3 linked regions of the Nothobranchius furzeri genome follow. The protein of the gene in region 2 interacts with the protein of the main gene of each other region in a pairwise test. Links are inferred from orthologs where the notes say so. Each region holds a gene or a part of one and is shown on either strand. Other genes may lie near its edges.

Region 1 (3,510 bases), on a different chromosome or scaffold from region 2:
AGGAAAAGAAGAACCGCAAAAAAGACAAGGAGAATGGCTCGAGCGGTGGCGAGGCTGGTAACCAAGACAACATTGATGCCCCTGAAGCTGTGGTATGTTTTTGGTTCGTCATGCACACATTTGGCATTCAGCTAGATGGATTCATCCACAAACAAACCCCCAAACTTTGTCCAAAAATAAAAACTACAACATTTACATCCAGTTAGGCTCTTTTTCTGATTTTAAGGTAACAAATTAAAAATTTTCCATGAGTTTTGTATAAACGGACATCTGCGTGCCCTTCTGGTGTTCAGGATAGAGACGATGATGATGAAGACTGGGCAGAAGAGACAACTGAGGAGGCTCAAAGGCGTCGAATGGAGGAGATCAGTGACCATGCCAAGAACCTCACGCTCAGTGAAGACCTGGAGAAGCCTCTGGAGGAGAGGGTCAACCTCTTCTACAGCTTTGTGAAAGTGAGACTCTGTTCAGCTTGGACTTAGTAGATATAAAAACGCAATTAACATTTGTTTTTGTTTCCTTAATGTAACCCCAGCATAAGAAGGAAAGTGGAACCATCGATGCGGCTGATAAGGAAGTCTTGGCGGAGGCGGAGCGTCTGGATGTGAAGGCCATGGGCCCCCTCATCCTCAGTGAGCTCCTCTTCAACGAGAACATCCGGGACCAGATCAAGAAGTACAAACGCCACTTCCTGAGAGTATGTTCTAAACGCTTCCACAGCCAAACACGACTTCATATGTTTACACGACTGACTGCTCGTTGTAGACATGAACGTAAAACCTTGACCCTAAGAGTTAGTTTAGGGTGGACGAACTGATGAGGAACACCTGGAGGCTTGTGTTGGAAAGTGCAGCTGCTTTACTTTGGTTTTTGCGGTTGAAGCCTTCTCCGGGTCAGGGATGAGGTCCTGCCCCAAGTGGAGGAGTTTAAGTATCTCGGGGTCTTGTTCACGAGTGAGGGAAAACTGGAGCGTGAGATCGATAGGCGGATTGGTGCTGCATCTGCAGTGATGCGGGCGTTGTACCGGTCTGTCGTGGTGAAGAGAGAGCTGAGTCAGAAGGCAAAGATCTCGATTTACCGGTCGATCTACGTTCCTACCCTCACCTACGGTCACGAGCTTTGGGTAGTGACCATAGGAATGAGATCGCAGATACAAGTGGCCAAAATGAGTTTTCTCCGCAGAATGGCTGAGCTCTCCCTTAAAGTGAGAAGCTCAGTCATCCGGGAGGGGCTCGGAGTAGACCCGCTGCTCCTCCAAATCGAGAGGAGCAAGCTGAGGTGGCTCGGGCGTCTGATTAGGACGCCTCCCTGGTGAGGTTTCCCGGGCACATCCAACTGGCACGAGACCCAGGACACGCTGGAGGGACTACGTCTCACCTGGCCAGGGAAGGCTTTGGGATTCCCCATGTGGCAAGGTGAAGACGAAAGAGCTGGACCAAGTAGCTGGGGAGATTGCTACCCTTTAAAGCTGCTTTTACATAAATCCTTTTCTTATTTTTAACTCAAAATCTTTCATTTGTTTTACTTTTTTCAGATGTTAATCTACTTCTGTTTTGAGATCATTATGTATTATTTTGTTTTGATCTTTGTGAAGCACTTAGTGATTCTACGTCTGTGATGAGTGCTATATAACTAAGTCTGGGCATCTAAGCCACAGGCAGAAGAGAAGGGATGGATGGGAAAATGTGTTGAAATGGAGAGAGAAGTGGTTTAGTCAAATGAAATCCTATCGGCATAAAATCAACGTTGTCCTTATTGTTTCAACAATCGTTGACTTTAAAAGATGAAATGAACAGTCCTATATGGAGATTTTTTAAATGACTGGCGGTTAAATTCCCCCCACAGTTCTGTCACAACAACAAAAAAGCCCAGAAGTATCTGTTGGGAGGCTTTGAGTGTCTGGTGAAGCTCCACCAGGTCCAGCTGCTGCCACGCGTCGCCATCATCCTCAAGGACTTGTACGACGCGGACCTGCTGGAGGAGGACGTCATATTTGCCTGGGCCGAGAGGGTGAGTCTGCGAGTGTTGGCTGTGTCTTTAGTCAGCCTGTGCTGGTTTTATGGAGACCCAAAGGAAATGACCTGAACTGGATCCTCAAGTTTTTATTAAAGTTTTCCACATATGTACTTGTGTGCCACCAGGTTTCTAAGAAGTATGTCTCCAAGGAACTTGCCAAAGAGATACACGCCAGGGCTGCTCCTTTTGTCAAGTGGCTCAAGGAGGCAGAGGAGGAGAGTGAAGGCAGTGAGGAAGAGAAGGAGGAAGAAGATGAGAACGTTGAGGTAAAATGTTTCCTTTTTGCTTTTGCAAGTGAAAGACATTACAGTACAAGCCGGTCGTTTGTATTTGTGGAGCGCTGTCATTTTTTACAATTAATGGATTTATTTTCATTATTTCTTAAGCTAATTTTCTCTAAAGGTCGTTCGGCTGTGTACGGTTGCTGCCGTGTCCGCAGCAGTCTCATGTCGTGAAGATTTTGTATGTGAATCTGCAGACTTGGGTAAATGCGACGTTGTGGGTGTTTTGTGCCTCAGGTGGTGTACTCTTCCTCTGCCCGCGAGCTCAAAGTTGAGACTGTGAAACCAGACACGCCTGAGAAGGAAGAAGAAGATATTGACATTGATGCAATCTGACAAATTTGGATGCTTCTGCTTTTCTCTTGTGTTGTGGTTTTGGCTCACAATGCCCTGTACAACATCAAATGCTTGGCTTTTCCTTCGACTCCCACCCACAGTTAGCCAGCCGCCCCCTCCCGCTTCATGGCTTGATATAATATAATGTTTTATTTGCTGCAAAGTAACTCATTCTAATCTGTATTCATTTAATTAGATGTGTGGAGTTTACTCAAAGGTGTATGAATCTTTGTGACTCTACCCCATCTCCCCCTTTTTTGTAGCTTTTTTTGTCAATAAAGATTTTTTGCTATCCACCTCAATTAATTGGTCTGAATGATTTATTATCCATTGTCTAAGTAACTATTAATTATTAGTGTTTCTTTGCAGTTTTATCTGTTTCAAACAACCAAAGCATAAATGATTTAGCTGTCAGCAAAATGACATTTTTCTCTTCACAACTCGGGCGCTTTCCCTGTCAGCCTGACTGGTTCTAGTGTTACCAGAAGTAACGGTGGCCATTACGATCTTCACTGACACTCGGCTTTGAACCACGCTGCTAAAAAAGAAATTGAACACAAAAATAAGACATTTTAGATCTGAATCAATTAAATACGTTGGCGAGCGCCTGGCTTTCACCCATGGAGCCCGGCCGGGCACAGTCCGAAGGGGAAACATGGGTCCCCCCCTCACATGGGCTCACCACTCGTGGGAGGATCTAAACGGGTCAGGTACAGTGTGTAACGTGTAGTAGACCTTGGCGGTCTGATCTCGTTACAGAAGCTGGCTCTTGGCACACGGAATGTCACCTCTGGTGGGGAAGGAGCCTGAGTTAGTGTGAGGTTGAGAGGTTCTGACTAGATCTAGTCGGACTCACCTCAACGCATGGCTCTGGCTC
Region 2 (4,312 bases):
ACATTCTGTCGTACAAAAGACACACTGGTTCACTTCAAAATTAAATCTTTTTCTTAATGTTTCGGCAGCAGGATTGATATTATGTATTATTTTGAACTGAATTTCTTTCAACTTGGGTGCAATTGGCCATTCAAGATAGCTGCAATATGGCTTTATTAATGTAGTTTCCTTTCCTGTGATTTTTATTTTCTTTGATTTGTCAATATCATAGAATAACTATTTTTAACATACCGTAAATCCTCTAATACAGGCCCGGGCCTGTATTTGACTCAAGCTCATCAAGCTCCAGGCCTTTATTGGAAGGAGGGCCAGAATTAGAGGCAGGCCTCTATTTCTACTTGAGCAAAATGAACTAATGGTTCGCTGGAGTTTTTGACAGTTAAAATTGCGCCCACATTTTCAAAGTTAAACACATTTCTTTTAACAACGGTAGTTTCTGCTTCAGCCATCCCCCCCCTCCCCTTGCGCAGCGGCCGCAAACTCACTGATGCGCCTGCAGCCTCTTGGAGTTCCTGCTGCTCTAAACATTAAAATAATTATTTCATTTTCTGTTCCTCACTTCTGATTACCTTCAATGGTGTCTGTTTGTTGCAACCACCAGGTACAAAAATTAACTTGTTTTTATTTGACCACTTTTCTGTCCTGTCTGTTTATTATCTTCCTGCATCTCCTCTCAATCCTAAAGAAAAACTGCTACCTGGGTTCATATATATTCACCCTATGAGTTACCTTTGAACTGCAAGTCTAAAAGATCTACCGACCGCAAAAACAGCGGAGTGCTCGCTGCTTGGTGGCCGCATCAGTGATCGGTGCATCACCGGATGACAAGGTAATGCGCCCCGCTCCACAGTGAAACACATCAGACACAAATAAAAGACAGAAAACATTAAAGGAAATGAACCAACATGAACGATCGCGTGTCAAATTAGTTTTTGAGGTGGCGACACCTGATTTGATAATGTTACTGTGGCCGTGCTCAGGACGCAGATCTACCAACCGCAAAAACAGCGGAGTGCTCGCTGCTTGGTGGCCGCATCAGTGATCGGTGCGTCACCGGATGACAAGGTGATGCGCCCCGCTCCACAGCGAAGCGTATCAGGCGCAAATAAAAGACATGTCAGTGTCGCGTGTCAGTACCGACGCTCTGGCACAGCGCGTTGCCCCCCCCCCCCCCCCCCCTGAGCGCAGGAGCTTGTCACCTGCTGACAGCAGGCTGCTGTCTTTTCCAAGGGCTGCATCTTGCCGGTCATTATCACGTGACAGCGACTAGTCGATGACAGGCATAAAAAGTCACTATAGTGAAGTTGACTATTGCTCCCCAGTGTTCTGCAGCGCACGTTCTCTTTGAACTTGATATTGTAATGACCTGGCTGGGGTTGTAAGCCAGGTGCATTCTGGGTATTGTGTTATATGTGTTTCCTATCATTCTGCTAGTTCCTATGTGTTGATTTGCGTGTTGTGTGAGTGTTATGCTAATGTAAGCCACAGGGAAGGTGATGTGTGTTCTGTGGAGCGGGTTGAATTAGCATGGTTAACTGACACCGTGACTCTTGTGTGGTAGGAGCGTGATAAGAGGATTGGTGTCTGTAGCGTTACAAACTGTTGAAGAAAAATCCCAATAAAGGTCTGTGTGAACCTCTGCTTCCTCCTGCTGGTTGATCTGGGGACTATAAACCTGCCGCTGAGACGCTCGGGGTCGCTACAATATCAAATTTTCGCCTCCTCGTCATCTCTGCACGGTTAAAGTTACCCTCGCGGTCTATCACTGGCAAATCAAAAGTGAGACGATGACACAACCGCCCCCCGTACTTGCTTGTTACCACATTCCACCCGGCCACAATAAGAGACCGGCCATTATTCACCTCCGCCGACTTCGACACCGGCCAAAATATGAGACCCGGCCGTTCATTGAATACAGGCCTGTATTAGAGGATTTACGGCACTTCCAAGTACTTTGTTATTACATTTTTGTTCACCTAATTTAAATTTGCCAATTTTCAACTCAGGAAGTTTAATCACCACATTTGAATTAAGCAAGGTATTTTTCCAATTGGTCGGGTTCTCTCGAGGGATCATGGGAAACGTAGTAACACCATATTTCGACAGAAATTCTATTAAATAGCAGTTTTTAATCAATGAAGTCTTATTTATTTGACAGTTTATCAATAAATGACGTACTTGATGGTTTTTCCTCAATTAATTTATGTCAGATATAATTATTTAAGCACATTTTAATGGAATGATATTTTATATAAAAACAGAATTCTCCTAAACCTTGGTTACATATAGCACAGTATCAGTTATTTTTCACTACTGTTGGCCAAAAAAATAAGAGCGTTTGTTAAGGGTTTTAACATTTGTGTAGATACGCTATGAGCACACATAAACATTTATTCAAGAAAAACATTATTGAAAAACACAAAAGTATACATTTCACTTCCTAAAACCACTCAAATTATTTCAGGGCAAAAAAATAAAATTTGCAGGCTGGGTGCTTCATCATAACCTTATTAATCTAACTAACATTCATTCAGTCATGACAACTTGCCAAAATGTCGACCTTCATTTGAAATATTGCTGAAACACTTATAATTACAAGTGTACCTTTAATTTATTATTAGGGTTTGCTAGATTGTTTTAAAAACTTAATTAATCTTTAATAATTCAAAAAAAAAAAGAAAAAACTGACTGAACTCACCCAGTTTTCACAATGTGTCAAGAACCCACGAAGTCACGCAGTCACGCGGCCAGTTAGCTAACCTCGTTCTTCCAGCTTCAGCTGTTTACAGTTCTTAATAATAAAAAAAAGCATCAACAATTACTGTTCAGCGCAGTAAAATACTAAAAAAAATACAAGATCGACGTACAACTGCGGTCCTGTGGTTTTTGGTTCGTCTTTAAAATGGTGTCGTACGGAAACATGGTTAGATTCTTCTGTTCCAGCCTTGAAAAACATAACAAAAAATCTCCTTTAGTTACGTTTAAAAACTTTTCATTTCTGAAAATATTTAAAGATTTCAATCCATAAATAATTGAACTCGTTTAGATTCTTGAACCCAGCTAGTTGCATAACATTTTTTCTTTATCTCAGTATTAAATATTTATAAGAAATATGATGCCTTATGATGATTACTAGTTGAGAAGATGAAATGACTAAAAAAACGAGTAAATAGGATTTTATATATCTGCCAATCAGGAAATCAGAAAAAAAATTAATTTCACACAGCAACATATTAAACTAACAAATTTTTAAGACTGCTTGATTTCACGATGCTTTTGATTTTATTTCTATCTGTTTGTATCCTTTCACGTGGCATTTGATTGCTTTATGAGGTATTGTTCACATTTTAAAAATTGTACAGGGCTTTGATCAATGAAAGTTGTTTTAAACATGTTAATAAAATAAGTGATTGAAACCTGATTGGAAGATTCCATCATGCTAAAACGTAAAATCTTAAAAACAGGAACAAGTTACAGATGCCACAATATGCTTATTCAATTATGCTGAAGGTTACATTTAACCAAAAATATTCAATATAAACAAAAAGAAGTCATTCTCACCACATTAGAAATATAAAACCATGAAAGTCTCTATAAAGTTATAATAATGAAATAAAGAAAACAAGAGAGGAAATAGAGTAAAATACCAAAGACGTGAGGTAATGTGAGTCTGTAGTCCACACTGACCACACACAGTAAAGCTGAATAAAGTAAATGATGATCTTGTTTTCTCTCATGAACAGTCTGACTTTGTCGGCTGCATTAAAAGAGCAACAATTAAAGCAACAGTTGAAAGAATCTCTGTTCGTCTTTCTGTCATGTTTGTAGTTTCCAGACTCTCTTTAAACACATCATGTCTGTCTGGTGTGTGTGTGTGTGTGTGTGTGTGTGTGTGTGTGTGTGTGTGTGTGTGTGTGTGTGTGTGTGTGTGTGTGTGTGTGTGTGTGTGTGTGTGTGTGTGTGTGTGTGTGTGTGTGTGTGTGTGGCGTTCTGAATGGCCCGCCAGTGTTTCGGCCCACTGTCTGGTCACTGTGTGGGGTTCTAATAAAGCTTTATGAGTTTCTTTAATCTAACCATCTGACCAGTACAACACCCTGCTGGGACTACTCCCCTCTCATTAGAGGGCTGCTGAACAAACATAATTGACTGTTAGAAAATAGGCAAATATAAACAACACAGAGTTCCAGCAGGTGAATGGGGACATAACTGGGTGTGTTGGTGTGTGTTTGTTCAGTTGTTCTACCAGATGGTCTGTAAGACTTTCAGCAAACCATTTTCAGGCTGTTAGACGACGGGTTTATGTAACTGGGAT
Region 3 (4,095 bases), on a different chromosome or scaffold from region 2:
ATGAGTTAAACCAAGGTCTACAGCCCTTGGGTCATAGACTATGAGCTATAAGTATATTGGTCTTTTTATACTGGCAATCAGGAGTTATTTTAGTGATCATCTTGTTTCTTATTTTTGTCCTGATTGTGCCCTGAGCAATTTTATGACTGAATAAAAACAAATAAAATCAACATAAATTGAAAAATCGTCCTAAATAATCGTGATCTCAATTTCAGTCACCATAATCGTGATTATTATTTTTGCCATAATCGAGCAGCCCTAATTGAGATGAGCCCTAATGTTCTTTTTGCTTAACAGTGTTTTACGTCTTGGAAATCTGCCATGCAGACCATTTTTGCCCAGTCTCTTTGTCATGGTGGAGTCGTGAACAATGACCTTAATTGAGGCAAGTGAGGCCTACAGTTCTTTAGAAGTTGTCCTGGGGTCTTTAGTGACCTCTCGCATGAGTGGTCTCTGCGCTCTTGGGGTAATTTTGGCCGGCCGCCCACTCCTGGGAAGGTTCACCACTGTTCCATGTTGTTGCCATTTGTGGATAATGGCTCCCGCTGTGGTTCGCTGGAGTCCCAAATTTTTAGAAATGGCTTTATAACCTTTACCAGACTGATAGATCTCACTGACTTTGGTTCTCAAAAGTTCTTGAATTTCTCTGGATCTTGGCATGATGTCTAGCCTTTCAGGTGCTTTTGGTCTACTTCGCTGTGTCAGGCAGCTCATATTTAAGTGATTTCTTAATTGAAACAGCTGTGGCAGTAATCAAGCTTGGGGGTGGCTACAGAAATAGAACTCAGGTGTGAAACACCACAGTTGGGTTATATTTTAACAAGGGGGGCAATTGCTTTTTCACACAGGGCAATGTAGGTTTGGATTTTGTTCTCTCCCTAAATAATAAAAACCACCATTTCAAAGCTGCATTTTGTGTTTACTTGTGTTATCTTTGACTAATGGTTAAATGTGTTTGATGATCAGAAATATTTTGTGTGACAAAACATGCAAAAGAATAAGAAATCAGGAAGGGGGCAAATAGTTTTTCACAACGCTATACATTTCTATTATAACCTAAACTATCTACCTCTGGGCTGTTTTGTTACAAATGAGAGATTTATTACACAACCTACAAACATCACGAGTGCCAGAAAAAGGCTTGGCACAGACACTCCCCCCTCTCATACCACATTTCTTTGTGGGTGAGGTTTGAACACTAGGAACATATTTAATTAATACCTATTCAAGGCCTACAGACACATACACTTGACAGTTCTGGGAACCTCTTAATGGCATCATCCCTGTAAGGTCCTCAGCAGCCTCTTGTGGCCAGCCAGGGGAGGAAATAGATCCCAAAAAGATACAGCTGGTGTGCTGTACTCACAAATGTGGGAGCTTCCCCCCTCAAGAATGCATGTTTTGCAATGTAACTTGTACCATCACACACACAGAAACTATTCATTGGTTCACAAAAAAATATAAATAAAATAAAATAAAAAAAATCCCAGAAAAACTCCAGCTAGGAAGATTTTAATATACTAATTTCAGCTGTTAATGCCCAGGACGAGCTTTTGAGTTGTGATGTCAGACTGTTCATCATTACTAAAGTTATCCCTTTGTTTAAATGGTAGTGAAACTTCTAAAGAGCTGTAATATTCTAAAGAATTGGTCATTATTAAAGAACTATTAGGCAGTAATATTGTATTTTTACCGAAGATGTCTGGAATCACTGATTAAATGCTCAGCATTTTTCTTTAACTTGTCAAAAATATAACTACATGCTACTAAAAAAACATGATTTTTCATATATTTTATGTCACAAGCTCTTATTTACAAGTATCATGTGAAAACATTTACGTGATGTTGATATGAGCACCCTTATATGAGATCCCTGTGGTAGGATAACTTTAAAGCCAGTCAAACCATTTATTCTAAATTACAGTTTTAATAACAAAAAAATTATGTATGACTAAAACATGTTAGAAAAATTATATATGTATTTTTTAGAACTCATGCTTGAATCATTTACCTTTTGTGTGCTGACAGACCTCCTTAGTACCCTGCTATTGGGTCCAGTCACTCTGGTATTACTGCTACTGCGAGAGGGAAGCGTACTGTTGGGCTGGGTAGCGGACGGGGTACCGATGGGAGCAGGTTTTTTCTCTGCCCGGTTCTTCTGGGACGCCACATTGTTGTTTTCATTGAAACTCAAAGCCTTTTTGTCCTGGGCTTCACTGCCCACGTCAATATACTGTCCATTTTTGATTAAATCAAGATAATCCTTGAGGACCGCCTGGGTTTCAGGATCACTCAGCCAGTTCAGAAACAACTCGTCCACCTTTAGTTTAAGAACTGGTTGGAGTAGTTGTTGCGACGGCATCTTGCTAACTACTACTGCGTTGAGGTTGACACCTGTATGGGAATAAAGTAAAGTTAGCCATTTCAGTCAACACTCACTATTGAATCTAAGCGCGAACCATCAATTTTAGCTACGTAAACTTCTTTTACTGCGATTATTTACCCGCCATTTTAACGTTACTGTGATGCAAATAACTAAAAGTTAACATTTCATTACTTAGCATCACATCACCCTGCAAAAACACGCTGTTGTTGAAATCACTAGAACTACGACTGTTAGCTAGCATGGGCAAGCTAATGTTGCCTTCGTGATAAAACTATTACAAACCTCGCTGTGAGGGGACGACAGAGCCAAACACTGATAATTCATGACATCGTGGTTCCTTCATATGCGACGCTGCTGCATGTCTCCTTGAACTAGTAGGATAAACAAAATCAGATCTCTTATTAAATTGTCGATTTCTGACAGAGAATCTCAGTACTGTAAACAGAGCAGACAACTTTTTAAAATCCCGTTCCCCTTGGTGACAGCGTCGTGTTATCGCGAGATTATATGCAAACGCTCTTCTGAAAAGGGAGACTGGCGTCTCACTGCTGCTAACTTGATAGATTGACACCTCCAAAACACTTTAAGTGCAATTTAAACACATTTTTTGTTAATTCAGTGTGTGAAAATCTCACCAAAAGCCCTAAAACAAGATTCCAGCTACAATGTTTTGTCCAGGACTTTATAATATTTTGACTGAAAGCATTTCTTATAGATTTTCTTTCATAAAATCTGAATGTGTGTGTGTGTGTGATTGCACATTCTTAGACTGATTTACACGACCATGAATGTTAAACTCTGAAGATATAAAGGTAAAACAGAAAAAAAATCAAATACGTCCAACTCTATATCAGAAATAAATATGATATGATAAATATGATAAAAGAACCAGATTTTAATGGTACAAAAACAGTTTCCCTTGGAAATATTTTTAACGCTGCTAACAAAACCAACAATTTAATAACGGTTTGTTTCTGTAAACACAGTTTTGCTAGGTAATTACACTGCAAGCAGCACCACAATTGGATCCAAACTAATCTGTCCAACTTGGCAATGACATATGCAGCTGTAAATACTTGTTTTTATTAGAACTTTATACCTCACATCACAGCATGATGCATTCTTTATTTCATTTAAAGCTAAATTGGGCTGTTTGAGAAAGAGGTTAGCTCTGCTTTGTATTTATTTGACCAAATTTGACAGTTTTAGATGTTTTTCTTTTATTTATCTCCATCATTAAATACATTAGAGACACCCATCACTCCACCACTGCCTTGTTGTTAACAAGCACATTCACAGTGCCTCTGGCCTTCTTGTTAAGATTAACAGTGGTTCTATAGTTGTGAAAATTATTGACTGCGTTTTCCCTTATCTGTCCCTTGATAACGCGGGTAAATCCAATCTGAAGCATTCAAAGTTGTCTGAGGCACAACGTGTAATGAGAAATCTCTTTGTTCTGTGTAACAACTGGCCTAACATGCGTTTTAGAGCAAAATCAATACCCGAAATGAGGAGAGAAAAAGTGAAGGTCTAGAAACTTTAAACTTTGCAACTTTTCAAAGTGTAATTATAGTGTACAAATAGGATTTTACCCAAAGCGGTGTGCATGTTTTCTTTTTTTATGCCTTGAAGGACGTTTCAAAGGTTTCGTCTGAGGATGAAACCACAGGGGCACAGCTGGTTAGCGTAGGAAAGTGTTAGTAAAGAGT

What was found.
Region 1: the proteins of dusp12 (region 2) and eif5 interact in binary tests that used the Homo sapiens proteins (3 or more experiments, as listed by UniProt). The two-hybrid records come from large-scale screens. The link is inferred for Nothobranchius furzeri from reciprocal best matches to the Homo sapiens genes DUSP12 and EIF5.
Region 3: the proteins of dusp12 (region 2) and ppp2r3b interact in binary tests that used the Homo sapiens proteins (3 or more experiments, as listed by UniProt). The two-hybrid records come from large-scale screens. The link is inferred for Nothobranchius furzeri from reciprocal best matches to the Homo sapiens genes DUSP12 and PPP2R3B.

Annotation. Positions count from the first base shown.
Region 1 is NC_091758.1:10,703,255-10,706,764, forward strand, and holds the end of eif5 (eukaryotic translation initiation factor 5), read left to right. Parts: coding exon 1-92; intron 93-293; coding exon 294-455; intron 456-535; coding exon 536-697; intron 698-1,845; coding exon 1,846-2,010; intron 2,011-2,141; coding exon 2,142-2,282; intron 2,283-2,534; coding exon 2,535-2,633; 3' UTR 2,634-2,935; downstream 2,936-3,510.
Region 2 is NC_091751.1:58,772,209-58,776,520, forward strand, and holds the start of dusp12 (dual specificity protein phosphatase 12), read right to left. Parts: upstream 2,932-4,312; 5' UTR 2,868-2,931; exon of another isoform or gene 2,792-2,867; 5' UTR 2,699-2,791; intron 1-2,698. UniProt on the Homo sapiens protein: Dual specificity phosphatase; can dephosphorylate both phosphotyrosine and phosphoserine or phosphothreonine residues. Can dephosphorylate glucokinase (in vitro).
Region 3 is NC_091754.1:29,703,423-29,707,517, reverse strand, and holds the start of ppp2r3b (serine/threonine-protein phosphatase 2A regulatory subunit B'' subunit beta), read right to left. Parts: upstream 2,876-4,095; 5' UTR 2,730-2,875; coding exon 2,669-2,729; intron 2,395-2,668; coding exon 2,012-2,394; intron 1-2,011. UniProt on the Homo sapiens protein: The B regulatory subunit might modulate substrate selectivity and catalytic activity, and might also direct the localization of the catalytic enzyme to a particular subcellular compartment.